Linked DNA regions of Macaca fascicularis. The protein of the gene in region 2 interacts with the protein of the main gene of each other region in a biochemical or structural test. Links are inferred from orthologs where the notes say so. Each region holds a gene or a part of one and is shown on either strand. Other genes may lie near its edges.

Region 1 (3,565 bases), on a different chromosome or scaffold from region 2:
TACACAGACCCACGGGTGCTTGAGAGCCTGGTCAGCCGTGATGCGCTTTGCTGGGTTTATGGTCAGCATCTGGTTGATCAAGTTCTTGGCTTCAGGAGTTACCGTGTCCCATTCTGGTGATGGGAACTAAAGAGCAGGAACAGGGAGAAGAGGAATATGATATTGGTGAGCTTCACACCCTGAAACATTGGCTCTGTCTTCAACTCAACTCCTGTAATTGGGATACTCTGTGGTACCTAAAGCTGTGACCAGCAGAGTTGGAGAAGCCCTGGGGCTATCCCAGAACCCGTGTCAACTTAAAGACTGGGAAAGACAGACAGAACACTCATGGTTAGAACACCAGAATATCAGATCAGAGCAGGAAGGGGACTCCAACATTCTCTGGTTTAAGCCCAGCTCTCTACTTAGGAGGGAATGGAGGCTCAGCGATGTGTCCAAGGTGCCACTGCAGTGAAGGGAGTCTCCAGGCCTTTTGTCCCTGTGTTACATAGCACACCAATGAGGCTGCTCCATTCTTTGCAAGTAAAGATCAAAGGACTTCAGTGGGCTCCTCAGCTTTAGTTACAAAGAAGGCTGTGCAAAAGAAAGTTGCTCCCTGGGACATAGGGTGGCAAGAATTGGGCCCTGGATGCCCATCCCTGGGTCCTCAAAGTCCCCTGACACCCCCTGTATCACATGACACACTAAACAAGCCTGCTCCCTTGGACAAAGCCCGAGGAGCAGGACATCTGCCCTTCCTGGCCTGGCTGCCCGGCTCTCTGGTCCTTACATCATAGGCTCCAGCCTTGATCTGCTGATACAGCTTGTGCTGATCCTCATCCCAGAAGGGAGGATAGCCCACCAGGAGGATATACAGGATGACCCCTACGAGACAGAACACACAGGTCATGGGGGTCAGTCGCCTACTTCCCTGAGGAACCAAGAAAAGCCATGCAGGGCTCAGAGCCACCTAGAAAGGCAGGGGCCATACCAGAGACAGAAGTGGATGCCAGCCAATAATGCTATGCTACCAGCCCCTCCTGCTATGCCTCACACTTCACGTCACCAAGTCACACCAGGGATTTCTTTAGGCACAACCCATCCTGTAGGGCGTGGGCAAATCCCTCTCCAAGAAGGATACAATGTCATCCCAGAAGCACTCAGGGAGGAGAGTGTGATGGGAACGGCCATCCCAGGGGCACTAGAGCAAACACTGTAACTTCACATACACCAGGCATGTATGTGTGACCCGCAAGGAATAGCGATGCCTCTTTCTTGCCATCATCGGAAGTTAAGGGCCCTTAACAGCGAAAAGCTGAGAGCGTGGAATGGGCTTACCGCAGGCCCAGATATCCACAGGTTTTCCATAGGGATCTTTCCTCAAGACCTCAGGGGACAAGTAACCTGGGGTTCCAGCAAAACCTGTAGCAGAAGAGAGGGCAGAGGCATACTGAACCCACTTTCTCTCTCGTTAAATCCACACCAATCATTTCCCCCAAGTCCCTTCTCATTCCTGCTGCTTTTGCTACATAAGCACTCAGCACATGGGCAGCAAGAGCTGACAGGCTGGGCTTCTTGTAATGCCTGGAGTCTGAACCAGAGGACAAAGCCGTATGCCTACCAGGAACTCCAGCTCCTTCCCAGAGGCAGCAAGAAAGCAGTGCTGACAACAGCTAGACTTGCTGTAATGAGTCATGTAGGGCCAAGAGAGATCTCTGCACCCTCCCACCCTCTGCCAGTCTCTGAGGAGGCCAGGACCATTAAGGGTCTGGCTTCTAGTTCGTTTTTTTTTTTTTTTTTTGAGACGGAGTCTTGCTCTGTCGCCCAGGCTGGAGTGCAGTGGCCAGATCTCAGCTCACTGCAAGCTCCGCCTCCCGGGTTTACGCCATTCTCCTGCCTCAGCTTCCCGAGTAGCTGGGACTACAGGTGCCCGCCACCTCGCCCGGCTAGTTTTTTATATTTTTTTAGTAGAGACGGGTTTCACCGTGTTAGCCAGGATGGTCTCGATCTCCTGACCTCGTGATCTGCCCATCTCGGCCTCCCAAAGTGCTGGGATTACAGGCTTGAGCCACCGCGCCCAGCCTTGGCTTCTAGTTCTAATAGAGGAAGGCCGATCAGGAAGAGGAGGAAGGGCGGGGGCTGCATTCTGGGAAGACAGGGTTACCCTTACCAAACCAAGCCTGCTGCTCTCCCTGTACTTCGATGGCTAGGCCAAAATCAGCCAGCTTGACAGCGGCACCCTTGCATTTACTCGCCAGCAGCAGGTTCTCAGGCTGCAGAAGGAACAGAGAGAACCTTGTGAGCACCCACCCTGCAGCCCAGAGGGAGCCTAGTTGGGACCTACGCAGTACCACTATCTGGCACCAGGTGGCGCCAACACTTCATAAGCAAAGGCAAGGAGGGGGGCCTGGGTAGTACCTTCAGGTCCCTGTGGACGATGTCATGCTGGTGGATGTGGTTAACACTCTCCAGAATCTGATGTATACAGTGGCTAAAAAAGCAGAAGGAAAACAAATGTTAGTGCAGGGTTAAACCACCTCATCCACATCCACAACCACACGCTGCAGACTAAGGCATGTGACAAGGGGCCATGGATTCACAGAGAATCACTTAACAGCCACTGGAACCTTAGACTCTGCACATCATCTTGGTCAACCTATTTAAAGAAAGAGGAAACCAAGGCCCAGGAAGATTCAATGGTTTCTCTAGGATCACCACTAGAATGGGTTCACCTCACCCCCTTTTGACTGGAAAGGTCTAACACAACCAATTCATTTCCAAGAGATCAGGAGACAGCCCAGAATGCTGAGGAAGATGAGACCATCCAACTCCTTCCTTCTTTCTCTTTCTCCATATAGTAACTTTGTTCTTGGAGAAAAGGTTTGTGCTGGTAACTTAGGAAGGAGAGCCCAACTAAACAATCTAAGCTACTTTGAGGGTGGGTGCACTCATTCATTCCCCTAAATGTTTACTGAGTGCCTAGGATATGAAGATGGACAAGACCCTACAGCTGCCCTGAGGTTTGGCACCCAGTAACGCAGCTAAAACAAGTATCTAGATGCCTTTAAGAAACAATTTACTTGAGACCTTCCAAACAGGGCGCTTGAGGAGCACTTCTGATGATTTTGCGTAGAGAAAAAAACCCAAAGTTACATTATTTTATTTATTATTTTATTTTTGAGACAGGGTCTCACTCTGTTGCCTGGGTTAGAGTGCAATGTCGTGAACACAGCTCACTGCAGCCTTGACCTCCTGGGCTCAAGCAATCCTCCCACTTCAGCCTCCCCAGTAGGCTGGGACCACAAGCATGAACCACTGTGCCCAGCTACTAATTTTTGTATTTTTTGTAGAGACAAGGTCTCACCATGTTGCCCAGGCTGGTCTCAAACTCCTGAGCTCAAGTGATCCACTCACCTTGGCCTCTTAGTGTTGGGATTACAGGTGTGAGCCACTGCGCCCAGCCACAGTCACACACGTAAATCAGACTGTCCACATTGCAAACCATCCTGCCATCCCTGTCATCAAACTCCTGGCAGGGAGTGGGGGCAGTCTAGAGCAATGGTTTTCAACTGGGAATGAATTTGCC
Region 2 (4,180 bases):
GCCGCCTCCTGGGTTCACGCCATTCTCCTGCCTCAGCCTCCCAAGTAGCTGGGACTACAGGCGCCCGCCACCATGCCTGGCTAATTTTTGGTATTTTTAGTAGAGACCGGGTTTCACTGTGCTAGCCAGGATGGGTCTTGATCTCCTGACCTCATGATCCGCCCGCCTCGGCCTCCCAAAGTGCTGGGATTACAGGCGTGAGCCACTGCGCCTGGCACAACTTAGTAGTTTTTAATTAGAGGTTATATCATGACAAACGATGCAGTGGATTCGGGTTGCATGGGCAAGGTCACCAAGTCACTGCTGGGTTCCTCTGAGGGGCTCAGTACCAGGACCCATAGGAAAGGATGCTGAGGCCAAGTGGGACGGGTCTTCCCCAGGGCCAAGTCTACTGTAAGAATGGCCGAGACCTAGGACTCTGACCTCCTGGCCTGTTCCCCTACACTCTCTTCCACCCACTTACCCCGAAACCAGCCAGGTCAGGACCAAGAGGGGCAGGAGAGGAGGGCCCTGCGGTCCCCCAGCTCCCCTATCAGATTTGGTTCTTTCCCCACCCCTCTGGGGCCTTCTGGAGCCCTGTGAGCAGGCACCGGCTCTCTCCCATTTCCCTCCCCGCCAGTTTTCTTTCTGAACATTTTTAGCCTCTGATTATCCCCAGGGACTCAAGCTGAGCCAAGACTGCCTATATCAGGGCCCAGCTGGGCACTCCCTCCCCCTGCAACCTGCCGCCTACTCACCATCCACTGAGACCTCACGAGAGCGCACCAGGTCGCTCTTGTTGCCCACAAGGATGATGGGCACATCATCTGTTTGCCGTGCACGACGCAGCTGGACCCGCAGTTCTGAGGCCTTCTCGAAGCTGCCCTTGTCCGTCACTGAGTACACGATGACATAGGCATCCCCCATGGCCATGCAGTGTCCGGGCAACCAGCGGCCCCCGTCCTGGGGAACACACACACACAGTCTGCCCAACAGTCCTCATGACCCTGACACAAGCCTGGCACTCCCAGACCCCTACCCCAACTCACTCCTCCCTCCCCTGCCCTGGGTCTCAGCCTGTACCCTACCTGCTCCCAAATGTCGTAGACCATGAGTGATGCCTCTTCTCCGTCCACCACAATGGAGCGATCATAGGTGTGCCCTAGGCAGGAGACCAGTAAACAGGTTACCAGCTGACTGTCAAAGCCCCTGCTGCCAGGTTTCCTGTTATGGCCACACCCTCCAGCTCCTCCCCAGAGCCCTCCTCATCCTCCACTCCACTTGCAGATGCTGGTATGTGGCAACAGCAGTGCCAGGCAGGGAAGTGGGGGCTGGAGGGCATGGTGTGCCTGACCTCTACCCACATGCCCCCCAAGCTAGCAATGTCCCAGGTGGCTGCTCCAATGCCCCCTGTCCTCCTGCTGCCTGGGTCCCAAGGTGGCTCTGACCCAGTGGCCTGAGTTAGAATAGTGACTGTCCTGCTCCCTAGGGACCTTGGCCACCTAGGGCTCCTCTCTTAGAAATCCCTCTGGTTCGAAACTCTGACCTGTCCCTGATAGGCAGGGAGGGATGTCCGGTCCCATCCCACAGAGCAGCCATATCTATGCCCTGGCCTTCTACTCTGGGCATTTCTTCCCTACCAAAGGCCAGGGGGTGTCCCTTCTCCTTTCCTTTCCCCATTTATGAAATGAGTAGGTAGAAGCGTGATTCTGAAAACACGAATAGAATTCCACAGTATTGGCCAGGCGCGGTGGCTCACGCCTGTAATCCCAGCACCTTGGGAAGCCAAGGCGGGTGGATCACGAGGTCAGAAGTTCGAGACCAGCCTGGCCAACATGGTGAAACCCCAACTCTACTAAAAACACAAAAATTAGCCGGGGGTGGTGGTGGGCGCCTGTAATCCCAGCTACTCTGGAGGCTGAGGCAGGAGAATCCCTTGAAACCCGAAGGCAGAGGTTGCAGTGAGCCTAGATCGGGCCACTGCACTCCAGCCTGGGCGAAAGAGCGAAACTCCGTCTCAAAATAATAATAATAATAATAATAATAATAATAATAATAATAATAAATTCTTCCATGGTATTTGCGGCTTTGAGTCCTGGTCTCAGCCCTCAGTCCTAGCCCCGGGATCTCCCCTCTCGCGAACAGCTCGATCCGCTCACCTGCTGCCTCTGCTTCGGGACCATCCTCCACACCGCCGAAGATGCGCGCCAGGGCGCTCTTGCCCACGCCGGGCGCCCCCAGCAGCAGCACCTTGTAAACGCTCTCGTCAGAGTCGCTGCCCCCCGAGCTGAGTGAGTCCTCAGAGTCCTCGGGCCAGTCCAGCCTGGGACCCTGAGTCCCCGTCCCGGCCGCAGCCGCCGCCAGGGACCCGGGGGCCAGCGCCGCCTGCAGGTCGCGCTCGTCCACCGGCATGCTGCGGCGGTGCAGCGGCGGCGCTGGGCCCCAGGGCGTGCTGCCCCGACGGCGCTCGCGCTCCCGGCCCCCGCCGCGGCTGCCGCCCGCTCCGCTGTCGCCGCCGTTCAGGGTCATCGTGTCCGGGGCCGTCTAGGGGAGCAGGAACCCGGGTGACCGTGTAAGCCGTGAGGGAGGCGGGACCCGGGGCGCACCTGCCCAACCTGGAGTCAGGCGGGATGCTCGGGCGGAGGTCCCGCCGCAGCCCTCCCCCAGCCCCGAGGTCGCGGCGCCCTCACCGGGGACCCCTCCGGACCTGGCGCATCTATCTGCAGCCGCCCCGACCCCGCTCCGCCAAGACACTCACCCACTCGCACACAGACACGCTCAGGACTAGGATCCGGGTTAGGATGCAACCCACTCGTAGTCTGGACTTGGACTCTTGGGTCTCCGCCGCCGCTGCTGCTGCAGCCACCGCCTTCTCAGCCCGCACTGGGCTCTGGCTCCAGAGTCGCCTATTTAAGCCTCCACCCGCCCCCGCTCCCGCCCCCGGTTCACGCTGCTGCGGGGGCTGACGTGTCTGTCCACCCCCACCAGGGGAATCCCCCACCCTCCTCCTCAGACCTCGCACACCCGACACCCCGCCCTACCCGCCAGGGGAGGAGCAGTAGCTGTCTGGGAATAGAGCGGCTGACTGGTAGGCAAGGTCCGGGGCTGAGTGTGTGTGTGAGGAGAGAGAGCGCGAGGCTGCCGGGGGAGTACGTGATGCGGAGGCAGGCAGCAGGGTAAACTCAACCAGCCAAGAGCAGCAACTGCCCTCAGGGGAAGAATTCGGTCTGGCCCCGTGAGAGTGAATTCTCCCTTCCCTCTCCCCAAGTCGCCGGTCTTCCTCTTAGCAAGTAAACGAGTTACAGGCTGGACAGAGATCCCTCTTCTCTGCCCATGACACCCACTCCCCAGAGGTTCAGGTCTGAGCTGGAATTTAGGGGGTGTCATTTCACACAAAATCCTTTCCACTCTCTCCCCATCCTGGAGTTGAAGATTCTCCCTAATGAGCCTACTCTTCAGGGTGAGGGTTGGTGTCACCCCGTGAGCCCCTGGGGGCTCTGAGAGGGCTGCTGGGGGTGGGGGCGGCTCTGACAGTGTTGCAGGTGGAGGTACCTGCTTGACTCCTGGGGAGGAAACCCCAGCCCAGAAGAGGGAAGGGATTAAACTCAGTCCCCATCCCACCTCCCAGCACCCACCAGGCAGCTGCCAGCAACTCTGCTAAAAATAATTTGTCCCAGCCCTGGCCCTGGCCCTGGCCCTGGCTCTGGTTATTCTGCTTCTGGACTGGAAGTTGCCCAGAGTTGGGGAAATCCAGGCCAACGGGTGTTGAATGCCAGCAGGAGCCAGCCATTTTGAGTCGCCAAGGTCTCCCTTCTTCTTTCTAGCTGCAGGCTGAGCCAGCTGCCCAGGGCACATCTAGGGCCTGGAGGTTCAGACCCCCACCCAAGAGGGCCATAAACACAGCGTGTGGTCAAAGTATGAGGAGTGTCTTAGCTCCTTGCTCATCTCTCAGGGGTGTGAGGGTTACAGGTCAGGCTGTGAGGTATTTTGTGACAGGGACCTGCTATCAGACTGTGACATCTGATTGTGACAAGTGTGGTGAGGCTGGGAGGGCACCCATTTGGGGCTCAGGTGACATAACAGATGGATGGACCCTGGTGGGCTGTGGTAGGTTGTCATGGAGACCTGGGCCAGGCTCTTTGGCTGCTGCATCTGTTTCCTTGGCAACGCCTAAGAAGGCCTTGGATTGAGGAGGGCCTGG

What was found. The genes of interacting proteins can lie anywhere in the genome.
Region 1: of the proteins of RRAD (region 2) and CAMK2G, one has a biochemical effect on the other in vitro, tested with the Homo sapiens proteins (2 studies listed by BioGRID, with this or other methods). The link is inferred for Macaca fascicularis from reciprocal best matches to the Homo sapiens genes RRAD and CAMK2G.

Annotation. Positions count from the first base shown.
Region 1 is NC_088383.1:72,599,667-72,603,231, reverse strand, and holds part of CAMK2G (calcium/calmodulin-dependent protein kinase type II subunit gamma), read right to left. Parts: intron 2,471-3,565; coding exon 2,398-2,470; intron 2,253-2,397; coding exon 2,150-2,252; intron 1,402-2,149; coding exon 1,318-1,401; intron 865-1,317; coding exon 770-864; intron 127-769; coding exon 4-126; intron 1-3.
Region 2 is NC_088394.1:62,935,173-62,939,352, forward strand, and holds the start of RRAD (GTP-binding protein RAD), read right to left. Parts: upstream 2,865-4,180; 5' UTR 2,738-2,864; intron 2,524-2,737; 5' UTR 2,509-2,523; coding exon 2,139-2,508; intron 1,142-2,138; coding exon 1,068-1,141; intron 943-1,067; coding exon 738-942; intron 1-737. UniProt on the Homo sapiens protein: May regulate basal voltage-dependent L-type Ca(2+) currents and be required for beta-adrenergic augmentation of Ca(2+) influx in cardiomyocytes, thereby regulating increases in heart rate and contractile force.